Linked DNA regions of Callithrix jacchus. The protein of the gene in region 2 purifies or fractionates together with the protein of the main gene of each other region. This does not show direct contact. Links are inferred from orthologs where the notes say so. Each region holds a gene or a part of one and is shown on either strand. Other genes may lie near its edges.

Region 1 (3,566 bases), on a different chromosome or scaffold from region 2:
CCTACCTTTTTAGGGTTGTAGTGAGGATGAAATAAGAGAGTATGTATAAAGTATACAAAATAATGTCTGACTCATAGAATAATCAACAGACATTAGCTGCTGTTTTCTTATTGCAAAGGGCATCTATAAAAGTAGCTCAGTGGAAGAAAATGTGACAATTTGAAGGAGCTACTTCTATATCTTTGAAGGACATATATAGCTTCAAGTGAGTGACTGCAAAGACACACATATGCGGATGTTAAAGCAGTAAAACACTGAATAGCAGATAGATAATCAGCTCTAAATAACAACTTCTCTTGGGCTTCTTACATACCGAGTGGGTACGGAGTGCTGCGATGGTTTTTGAAAGTGCCATTTCCCACAGTTCATCAATGTAGGCTCTATTAACTAAGCCCTGCGTTGTATGTAAAATGTGATCTTCAACCACAAAAAAGCTAAGATTGAGGAAAAAAGAAAGCACAGCTGTCAGAATTTACAGTTATATTACTATCTCTGGGGTTTTAAAAGCATTAAGAGATAACAAATGCAAAGTTAGTAGTCATTGTTTTCTTGAAATGACTACTAACTACTAACTAAATGAAGAAAGTTATTTGGTTATCTGAATATCATAAATGAAATCAGACTACTTGGACTAAAAATTATGTCTGTGATTATGATATCTTCTTAACTACTCCTAGAGATATTAAGAGTTACATTTGTATTACATTTCTATTAAATGTTAACAATGATATCCAGTAGTTTAAAAGAGGAAAATGTGTAGAGGTAACAGAGGCAAATTTTGTTATATAAGAAAACACCAAGCCATCAATATATTTCCATAAAAGCTAATATATGTTATATACATCATATATGTTATGTATTATTTATATATATATTTTTTAAGAATCCAATGCACAAAATATCAAAATAATTCCCTCATGCAAACTCTCTCATCAAAGTGTTGAAAAGGCATCATATAAAGGTTTCAAAAATGCAAAGTTATTTTTCAACGATCTTGTTGTTGCTTCTTATTATTATGCATTTAAAATGTACCTTTCATTGTCTTGCCTAAATGTCCATATTAATGAAAAAAACTTCTTTATTAGAAAATTTTTATGATAAATTTTAATAACTACTAATTATATTGAAACAAATCTGAAATAAAACAAACCTGATGATGAATCCAAGTTATTTCCTTTTCTGTTTACTGCAAAGTCATTATTTTGGAATTTGACCAAGCTGCCTATATTGGGGTGTTTATTTGGGAAATGCAATTCCATACCACTATATACACTCTAGATGAGGGTGGCAAACTGTATTAGCCCGTGGGATAAACCTAGCCCACTGCCTGTTTTTATAAAGATTGTTTTATTGGAACATAGCCATGCTCATCATTTATGTATTGTCTATAGCTACTTTTACACTACAACAACAGAGCTAAACAGTTGTGACAGAGACCATACAGCCTACTAAGCCTAAAATATTTTACTATCTGGCCCTTTTGGAAAAAGTTTGCCAACTTTTGATGATTATTTGGTTCCATCTACCAAAAAGAAAGAAACAAAACATAAAGTATAATAAGATTACAATTCAATGTTTTTCTCACTTTATCCACAAAGTGCCCTACAACAATATAATATTGAAACCAGCAGAATGTTCCTTTTAAATCATTAGAAAATCAAAAACAAACCTTAAGAATTTAAAAAAAGAAAACAAATTTTAAAAAAAGAAAAAAAGAATTTCCCAAGGAAAACCTGATTTATTTTTCCAACTCTCACAACTTTCTATGTATTGAAAGTGTATAAATTTAAGTAAATAAATATATATATATATATACCTACCCTACAATTTGATTAAAATACTTCCTGTAGCCGTCTAACGTTTCATGCTGCAACAAAGCAAAGAAGAAAGTTATTGTTTCTGTTCTGTTACTTTAAAAAAAAGTTAAAATCAGTCACTTAATCTCTTAAGGCTCAGTTCCCTAGATGATATCTGATAAGGTAAAAATACTAATGTTATCTGCCAATGAAGCGGAAATGGGACAGCATATATCCAGTACTTAGAACACTGAGTGACACATAGCAATCAATCGATAATGTTTTCATACTACAAGTCGCATCCACCAAAAGTTATCTGAGAATGACAGTATACACACAAACACACAAGCATCAAAAGATACCAAGGAAAAGTAAAAATGTGAGAAAAGTGAAGATAGTAATCCTACCATGTTAGACGGAGGTTGAAGTACCAAACGAGCCTGTTTTCGCCTCTGTTTTCGGTAGTAATTCTCAAATGTTTCCCGGGCACCCTGTAAAATAAAGAAAACGGAAATGGTTTTGACACAATTGAACCAATTACTTTTATATTTCAAGGGAAAAGAGAAGGTCCCAGGTCTGGAATTTGGTAGTACCACATTTCTCAAAATCTCTATTTTAACAGTGATGATAATGATAGAAAATAAAAATAACTATTGCCATTTATTGAACCTTACTTACAAACCTGTAAGGGTGGGTATAAAATATCCTTACAAGGAAACTGCAAGAACTTAACCACCAGTACACCAAAGCTGGTATCTGAATCAACTATCTCAAACTCATAAGAATGAAGGGAAACCAACCTTTCCATAGGATGATAACAGGTAAGAAAACATTCCTTAAAAAACTCACAAAACATTCCAGAAGGAAAATGTCCAGAATAAAAACCAGCTTTCAAACGAATCATGAACAAAGAGGCAATGGGAAGCAGAAGAAAAGCAGGAACTGAGAACAGCATATTAGTATCCACCTTAGGGGATAATCTAGCACAGGATTAAACCCAAAAAAAACAAAAGCATGAAGATTCTTGGTACACAGTTCCTACTTTTCATTTATGGTATCTGGGCTTAAAATGAGAAGTTCTCTACAGAATCACATCTGACTCATGAGCTGTGTACTGGGTTGAAAAGTGGTCTCCCAAAATTCATATCCTTCATGGAACTTCAGAGTATAGTCATGTTTGGAAATAGGGCCACTGTAGATGTAATTAGTTAAATTAAGATGTGATCCTATTAGTGTAAGGGACCTTAATGCAGTATGTCTGGTGTCCTGAAAAGCCAAAATGAAAAGACAGAGATACACAGGGAGAACATCATGTGATGACAGAGGCAGAGAGTGATACAGCTGCAAGCCAGGGAACATCAGAGATTGCTGATCACTAGCAGGAGCTGAAGATTCTACCTAGTCTCAGGGAGAACATGGCCCTTCTGATGCCTTGATTTTGGAATTATAGCCTCCAAAACTGGGACAGAATACATTTCTGTTGTTTTAAGCCACTCAATTTATGGTGCTTTGTTACAGCAGCTCTAGGAAACTAATACAAACTCAATGTATTTAGATTATCATGCCCCATTTATTACTGAATTCTATTCTTAATCCAAAGCTTTTCTAAATAAACAAGAGTAAAAATGGAAAGACAGTATACCACAGTGGTAAAGAGCATTGATTTTGGAACCAGAGGTTATTACATATGAATCGTGATTCTGTCTCTTACTAGCTATACAACTGCTATAAATAGCTGTATAACTTCCTTCTACTAATTTAAGTTCCACT
Region 2 (4,004 bases):
AAAAAAAGAAGAAGAAAAAAAAGACCAGCCTGGGCAACATGGGGAAACCCATCTTTACAAAGAACACAAAAATTAGCTGGGTATGGTGGTGCCTGCCTGTTTCCAGCTACATGGGAAGCTGAGGTGGGAGGATTGCTTGGGCCTGGGAGGTCAAGGCTGCAGTGAGTCGAGACCTTGCAGTGAGATCCTGTCTCTAAAAAAAAAAAAAAAAAAACAAAAAGTGTTTTATCAAAGGATAAAACTTATATGCTATAGTGTATAGTGTGACCATAATTTGAAAGGGAATTAGCATAATTCAAAAGGATAGCTAGCATACTATATGTTTCAATCATTCCAGTATTTTTGTTATTTGGGTTTAATTTCTTTTCCTCTTTTGGTTTTGTATTTCTAAGAGGGCACCTTTTATTTTCAAGTTGTGTTTAAAACTATAAAGAGTATGCGAATACAACTTAATATAAATATAAATAATATATAAGCTTTCTCTCTATATATATGTACATATAAACAGACCCAAGCATTAGACCACTGATGTTGTACTTTCAGGATTCACACGAATAAGTCTAGATGCATTCCTCAGATCTTGGAGTTGCTTAGCAGGTTTCCCCACACCTTCTTCAAACCTTTTCTCCACGACAGGGAGGACTGTTTCATATAAAAAGGATGCATTCTGCCTGATAAAAGCTTTCTTCTCCGGATCCTGCTCACATCGAAGACTATAATCCACATGCTGAACAGCAACCAGAATGATTTCCACCAGGCTCTCCAAAAGTACCATGTGCAGCTCTGGGAAATACAGCTTCAGGGCCTCTTCCAAAAAGCCCATGGTCTGTTTGGTGAAAGCAACCACTGTGTAACTTAAGTTCACCCAGCAGTCATCCCCCGTGTACTGCTCAAAGTTACTTACCCCGCAACTTTTCATCTCTTCTTTGAGCTTACCCAGGGCTTCTGGCGTCATCAAGTTCATCTTCCTCCACATCTCTTCAGAGTTGCGATGTTTAGTGGCTTCAATGATGATTTCTTTGTAACTGTGCAAGGCCCCTTGGATGTCTTTCACCAGAAGGGCGTGGATGATGAAGGTGAGGTCTAGTCCGATATCACCCAGTTGCTGGCAATGCTCCTTAGCCACTTTTACACACTCAGCTGCTGTAGAGAGGCTCTCCTTACTATCAAACACCTGCTTGCTAAAAGCATCCACAAACATGCCCATGGCTGATCTTGCCCAGACCACAAACGCAGAATAGCAGCCACTGTCAGTTCCTGCAAAATCAATCTCAAATTCTTTTGCAGTCTCAAGAAGGCTAGTAAAGAAGACATGGCACAGCTTTTGAATATAGAGTAAAGTGGCACCTTCAATGCGAAGCTGACGAATTGCAGTATGAACAGCGACTGCCCTGTTTCTCAAAAATAGCTCACAGGCCTTCGTGCACTGGCCCAGCCGGATCAGTTGAGAAACTGCTCTGCGGGTAGCCTTGGGACCACCTCTCAGCGAACGATCTGGGGAGAGTTCGAAAACTAGCACCTCAGTGAGCTGTCGAACTCTCTCATCCACTTTGGCCCTTAGTTCTTTTACAGGAGGTGGGCTAGGCTTATCTTCCAGGTAATGGTTCAATTTATCCAGGAGGTCGACGGCCCCTTCAAAGTCCCTCTGGGCAATACAGACATCCAGGTCTTCAGGTAACTCCTGGATCCATTCCATGGAGAGGTCCACCTTCTCTTCCTCTACCTCAGGAACAGCTGGTTCTTCTTCTTCATCATCCTCAAATGGGTTAGTGGCCTTGGAAGTCACTTGGGGTGGCCCTCGAGGGGCTGCTGCCTCCTCCTGCTCCCTTCGCCTTTTCTCACTTAGGGCTCTCTTGGTCTCCTCCAGTACTTCCAGCCACTCTCGTTTGATTTTAGCATTTTCGGCCTGGAAAATACGGCTCTCAGGGAACATAAGCAGCTTGAACATGTCCTTCATGGGTGGGTTGTCCTTGACATTGACTACGGCCAAACCATCTAGGGAATAGAGCGCGTTGTAGCGATACATCCCCCGCCGCTGCGGCAGCCAGGTAGCCACCAACAAACAATCGTTCATGAGAAAGCCGTGCACTCGCTGCAGTTGGGCCATGTGGTCCGCATCGTATTCCACTAGGTCCCCGTTGTACACCAGGTACTGTCCCGGCGTCTCCAGCAGGTGCCTGCAGCCTTCCACCTTCTCAAGCAGGGTGGTGAGAGTGCGCTGCTTTCCTTCCTCGCCTGGACCGGAGCCGTCGCGGGAGGCACCCCCGGGGGAGGGGAAAAAGCCAGCCTGGCCTCGGAGGTGGTCTCGGGCCCCCGCCCCACCGACTCCCTCCTCCCCCCCAGAGGCGGCGGCGGTTCCGGCGGCCGCGGCTGCAGGCAGCAATGTAAGCGGGATGCTCTCCAGGCTGCTCTTCTGCTCGGTCAGCAGGTGGCTGAGCTGGTACATCTCGCTCTCCAGGTAGGAGATCTCGCGGGCGGTCTCTATGAACTGCCGGTAGTTCTGGTAGACGTTGCGCTTCAAATTCTGCGCGGTCTCCTCCGCCAGCGCCTGGATGCGCTGCCGGTGCTCCTGGAGATCCCGGTCCCCATCCGACTGCTGCGAGAGCTGCTTCACGTACAGCCGCGCCTCAAAACCACCCGACTCCAGCTGCCGACGCAGGCGGCTCGCCCCACTGTCTGACATCGTCATCGCCATTTCCGTCCGGGTCTCAGGCACTTACTGTCACTATCGGCGCCGCAGCCGCGGCAGCTGTCCAGACCCACCCAAGACCAGCGGAGCTCTAGGGCTGAGGAAGCAGGATGGGAACGAGACGAGTACGCCTGCGCCGGGTTTGAGCGTCAGACACTGCGCCTGCGCAAGGTGCCGAGCGCAGACTGCGGCTGCGTAGGACTGCCGTCGGTTAAAGCGCATGCGCAAGAAGAGCTATTGCGGAAGTGAGGGGAGAGGCCGAGCGAAACTTGGGTACTGCGCATGACCCGAGCGTGACGTTGAGGCTTGAAATAACTGGCAAAGTAAGGCTGGAACTAGCTTCCTGAAAGCTTCCTAGGGCCCGAGCCTTGGGAGCCCAGAGTCTGCGCCTACTAGGAGGTGTCACGCTGACTGCTCTTTTTAAAGACCTAGAATCTTGGCTTCGGCGTTTGGGGTAAGCTCCGTTTTGGTTCACGTTCTCGTTCTCAAGAGGGTTTCCGCGGACTCTCGCGAGATTGGCCGTCCGGAGAGCCGGTGTCTCCTAGGAGCTTAGTCCTGGTCCTCTGCGAGGCGGCGTGGGGTCGCGGCCTGATTCGGGAGTCAGCCTGACGCCGGCGGACCCCGCCTGGGATCTTGGCAGCGATGGATGATGACCTGATGTTGGCACTGCGGCTTCAGGAGGAGTGGAACTTGCAGGTCATGGAGCGCAATCAGGCCCAGGAGCCCCTGTCGCTGGTGGACGCGTCGTGGGAATTGGTGGACCCCACGCCGGACTTGCAGGCCCTGTTTGTTCAGTTTAACGACCAGTTCTTCTGGGGCCAACTGGAGGCGGTCGAGGTGAAGTGGAGCGTGCGAATGACCCTGTGAGTTCCCAGCCCTCTGGGGAAAGAGGCGGGATTAGCAGCTCCTCTGCAGCCCTCGGCCCTGGGGTTCTCTCCTTTCTCTGTCCGACCGTCCCAGAGGGGGGTTATATGAGGGGGTCTGGTTTTGGACCTGGCAGTTCCTGTCTTAGCGTGTTTCTCCCACTCGAACAATAAGAAAGCTATGTAGACCATACCGCCACGGTTGGACTCGGACATAATGAGAAATGAGATTGTTATTTGAATCTCACTAAACTTGAAAATGACAAGTTTCTGATTTGCCTTATGATTGTGCTCTAGGAGCCAGAAAAGAGAAGCAACCAAATCTGCCCCTAAGAAAGTGCTGAGGATGCAGAGTAACCTCCAGAGGATGTGTGCTGTCCTCTTCTATTCTCGTTAGGAACCCACTTTAGTGAACTCGTGTGCTGCAGTGGGGATCTTCAGTGATGCTTTTA
Region 3 (3,566 bases), on a different chromosome or scaffold from region 2:
CAGGAGAGTGCTGGTTTGGTTGGGAACATAGGGTGTGGGGAAAGAGTGGAACCCAGGACTAGATGGCTCAGGGACATGGCTCCTGGATGGGGTGTTGGAGATAGGACTCTGTCCCAAAGGGGCCAGAGGCAACTTAACACTGGTTTATCTGTCCAATGACATGTCAGTCTGGTGGAAACAGGCAGGGCTAGCAGCAGGCTCAGGCAGAGGTGTCGAAAAGGCGATCGATCATGTCGCCCACCTGCTCCACACCGTACTTGATGTACTTCTCCGGGTTCTTGGTGAAGGGCACACTGCCGAACCTGAGGGGGCACTGCCGTCAGGGGACAGGGAAGCCGACCCTCCCCAGCACCACCCTCAGCCTAAGGCACTCCTGAGAGTCTCGGAAGGTGTGACCCAGAGTGATTCCCTGTCCAGCCCCGCCCCAAAGCCCAGGGTGCTGGATCTGCGGCCTAAACCTGTCACCCTTTTCCTTTTGCCCTTGAGGAAGAGGAGCTCAAAGAGCCCACTGTGGCCGTGGGCAGCACAGGCTGGGAAGGGGCTCACTTCTGCAGAAAGGCCCCATAGGTCTCCTTAACAATGGTCTTCTGGGCCTGGCGAATCCTGTCCCTCTGCTCCATGTCCGGAATAGCCCAGGCCTTCTGGATTTTGCATAGTTCTTCAAGGCCATCATTGAAGCCCTGGCCACCAAAAAGGTGAAAAAGGAAGGGACCCAGAGACAAAACTTTGGGTCTGTGTTGTCTCAAAAACAGCAGCAAGCAGTGGAAAGGAGAGGACCTCAACTCACCTTAAAACGCTCCTTGATAATCTGACGCTCCTTGTCCCGGAGCTGGGAAGCCAGGAGAGATAGTAGAGAAAGCTCAGTTCAGAGCAGGGCAGCCTGCCCGCACTCTGTTCCAAACGCCCTTGGCCTGGGCTTCTCTCCTGTGCCCTGATGGCCATACACATCCTTTGCTCTCTGATCCCAGAGGGACGCTTGTCCTCTTTTCCCAGAGATACAACAAAGTATCCAGTCTGCTAAACACCCATTCCCAGCCCAGGCCTTGAGCCCACCTTGACTCCCGGCTGGAACACAGGTAGATTCTTCTCTGCGATGTAATCGGTCACCTTTAACCAACTGCCGGACAGAAAGAGAAGCATGAGGGCAGAGGACGGCCTGCCTCGGTGGCCTGGTTTGTGTCATTTGCCAAATCTCTGGATCTACTTAGTGGTTGGTGGTAGGAAGGGATGTGGGTCACAACTAAGCAAAACAACAGATTCTCTTCCTGGGAATAGAAAATGTTTAAACAGCCCAGACGCAGTGGCTCTCACCTATAATCCCAGCAATTTGGGATGCTGAGGCAGGCAGATCACCTGAGGTCAGAGGTTCGAGACCAGACTGGCCAACATGGAGAAACCCCATCTCTACTAAAAATGCTAAATTAGCTGGGTATGGTGTTGCATGCCTGTAATCCCAGTTACCTGGGAGGCTGAGGCAGGAGAATCACTTGAACCCGGGAGGCAGAGGTTGCAGTGAGCCAAGGCTGCGCCATTGGACTCCAGCCGGGGTGACAAGAGTGAAACTCTGTCTCAAAAAAACAAAAAACAAAAACAAAAAAAACAAACAAAAGAGAAAATGTTTAAACTGGTCACTCATTGAGAAAACATAAGGAAACATTTGAGTGTTCAATAAACTGAACAAATACTGTCAACTATATTTCACATCAGTATCATGGCAAATTAAGACGGAGAAACAGATGGGAAAGAAAGGAGTGAGTGGAGGGGAGATAAACAAGAGGGAAGAGGGAGACACACTCAAAGGGAAGAAACAGAGCCAGGAAGAAAGAGGACCAGAGAAGCACAGAGACCCCCACAGAGCCAGGAAGAAAGAGGACCAGGGAAGCACAGAGACCCCCACAGAGCCAGGAAGAAAGAGGACCAGGGAAGCACAGAGACCCCCACAGAGCCAGGAAGAAAGAGGACCAGGGAAGCACAGAGACCCCCACAGAGCCAGGAAGAAAGAGGACCAGGGAAGCACAGAGACCCCCACAGAGCCAGGAAGAAAGAGGACCAGAGAAGCACAGCGATCCCCACAGAGCCAGGAAGAGGACCAGAGAAGCATAGAGATCCCCACAGAGCCAGGAAGAAAGAGGACCAGAGAAGCGCAGAGATCCCCACAGAGCCAGGAAGAAAGAGGACCAGAGAAGCGCAGAGATCCCCACAGAGCCAGGAAGAAAGAGGACCAGGGAAGCGCAGAGACCCCCACAGAACCAGGAAGAAAGAGGACCAGGGAAGCACAGAGATCCCCACAGAGCCAGGAAGAAAGAGGACCAGAGAAGCACAGAGATCCCCACAGAGCCAGGAAGAAAGAGGACCAGAGAAGCACAGAGATCCCCACAGAGCCAGGAAGAAAGAGGACCAGGGAAGCACAGAGATCCCCACAGAGCCAGAAGGAGGACCAGAGAAGCACAGAGATCCCCACAGAGCCAGGAAGAAAGAGGACCAGAGAAGCACAGAGATCCCCACAGAGCCAGGAAGAAAGAGGACCAGAGAAGCACAGAGATCCCCACAGAGCCAGGAAGAAAGAGGACCAGAGAAGCGCAGAGATCCCCACAGAGCCAGGAAGAAAGAGGACCAGAGAAGCACAGAGATCCCCACAGAGCCAGGAAGAAAGAGGACCAGCGAAGCGCAGAGACCCCCACAGAGCCAGGAAGAAAGAGGACCACGGAAGCACAGAGATCCCCACAGAGCCAGGAAGAAAGAGGACCAGAGAAGTGCAGAGATCCCCACAGAACCAGGAAGAAAGAGGACCAGAGAAGCGCAGAGACCCCCACAGAGCCAGGAAGAAAGAGGACCACAGAAGCGCAGAGATCCCCACAGAGCCAGGAAGAGAACCAGAGAAGCACAGAGATCCCCACAGAGCCAGGAAGAAAGAGGACCAGAGAAGTGCAGAGATCTCCACAGAACCAGGAAGAAAGAGGACCAGAGAAGCGCAGAGACCCCCACAGAGCCAGGAAGAAAGAGGACCACAGAAGCGCAGAGATCCCCACAGAGCCAGGAAGAGGACCAGAGAAGCATAGAGATCCCCACAGAGCCAGGAAGTGGACCAGAGAAGCACAGAGATCCCCACAGAGCCAGGAAGAAAGAGGACCAGGGAAGCACAGAGACCCCCACAGAGCCAGGAAGAAAGAGGACCAGAGAAGCGCAGAGACCCCCACAGAGCCAGGAAGAAAGAGGACCAGCAAAGCGCAGAGACCCCCACAGAGCCAGGAAGAAAGAGGACCAGAGAAGCACAGAGATCCCCACAGAGCCAGGAAGAAAGAGGACCAGAGAAGCGCAGAGATCCCCACAGAGCCAGGAAGAAAGAGGACCAGGGAAGCGCAGAGATCCCCACAGAGCCAGGAAGAAAGAGGACCAGGGAAGCGCAGAGATCCCCACAGAGCCAGGAAGAAAGAGGACCAGGGAAGCGCAGAGATCCCCACAGAGCCAGGAAGAAAGAGGACCAGGGAAGCGCAGAGACCCCCACAGAGCCAGGAAGAAAGAGGACCAGGGAAGCACAGAGATCCCCACAGAGCCAGGAAGAAAGA

The links.
Region 1: the proteins of EXOC8 (region 2) and EXOC6B purify together in Homo sapiens (affinity purification with mass spectrometry; 3 studies listed by BioGRID and IntAct, counting the BioPlex papers as one, with this or other methods). This does not show direct contact. The link is inferred for Callithrix jacchus from reciprocal best matches to the Homo sapiens genes EXOC8 and EXOC6B.
Region 3: the proteins of EXOC8 (region 2) and EXOC7 purify together in Homo sapiens (affinity purification with mass spectrometry; 4 studies listed by BioGRID and IntAct, counting the BioPlex papers as one, with this or other methods). This does not show direct contact. The link is inferred for Callithrix jacchus from reciprocal best matches to the Homo sapiens genes EXOC8 and EXOC7.

Annotation. Positions count from the first base shown.
Region 1 is NC_133515.1:40,663,064-40,666,629, forward strand, and holds part of EXOC6B (exocyst complex component 6B), read right to left. Parts: intron 2,288-3,566; coding exon 2,204-2,287; intron 1,868-2,203; coding exon 1,821-1,867; intron 435-1,820; coding exon 314-434; intron 1-313. UniProt on the Homo sapiens protein: Component of the exocyst complex involved in the docking of exocytic vesicles with fusion sites on the plasma membrane.
Region 2 is NC_133520.1:53,553,578-53,557,581, reverse strand, and holds the start of EXOC8 (exocyst complex component 8), read right to left. Parts: upstream 2,819-4,004; 5' UTR 2,696-2,818; coding exon 518-2,695; 3' UTR 1-517. Other genes in the region: DNA-dependent metalloprotease SPRTN, read left to right, coding at 3,332-3,552. UniProt on the Homo sapiens protein: Component of the exocyst complex involved in the docking of exocytic vesicles with fusion sites on the plasma membrane.
Region 3 is NC_133506.1:131,987,875-131,991,440, forward strand, and holds part of EXOC7 (exocyst complex component 7), read right to left. Parts: intron 1,118-3,566; coding exon 1,054-1,117; intron 830-1,053; coding exon 788-829; intron 681-787; coding exon 547-680; intron 303-546; coding exon 200-302; 3' UTR 1-199. UniProt on the Homo sapiens protein: Component of the exocyst complex involved in the docking of exocytic vesicles with fusion sites on the plasma membrane.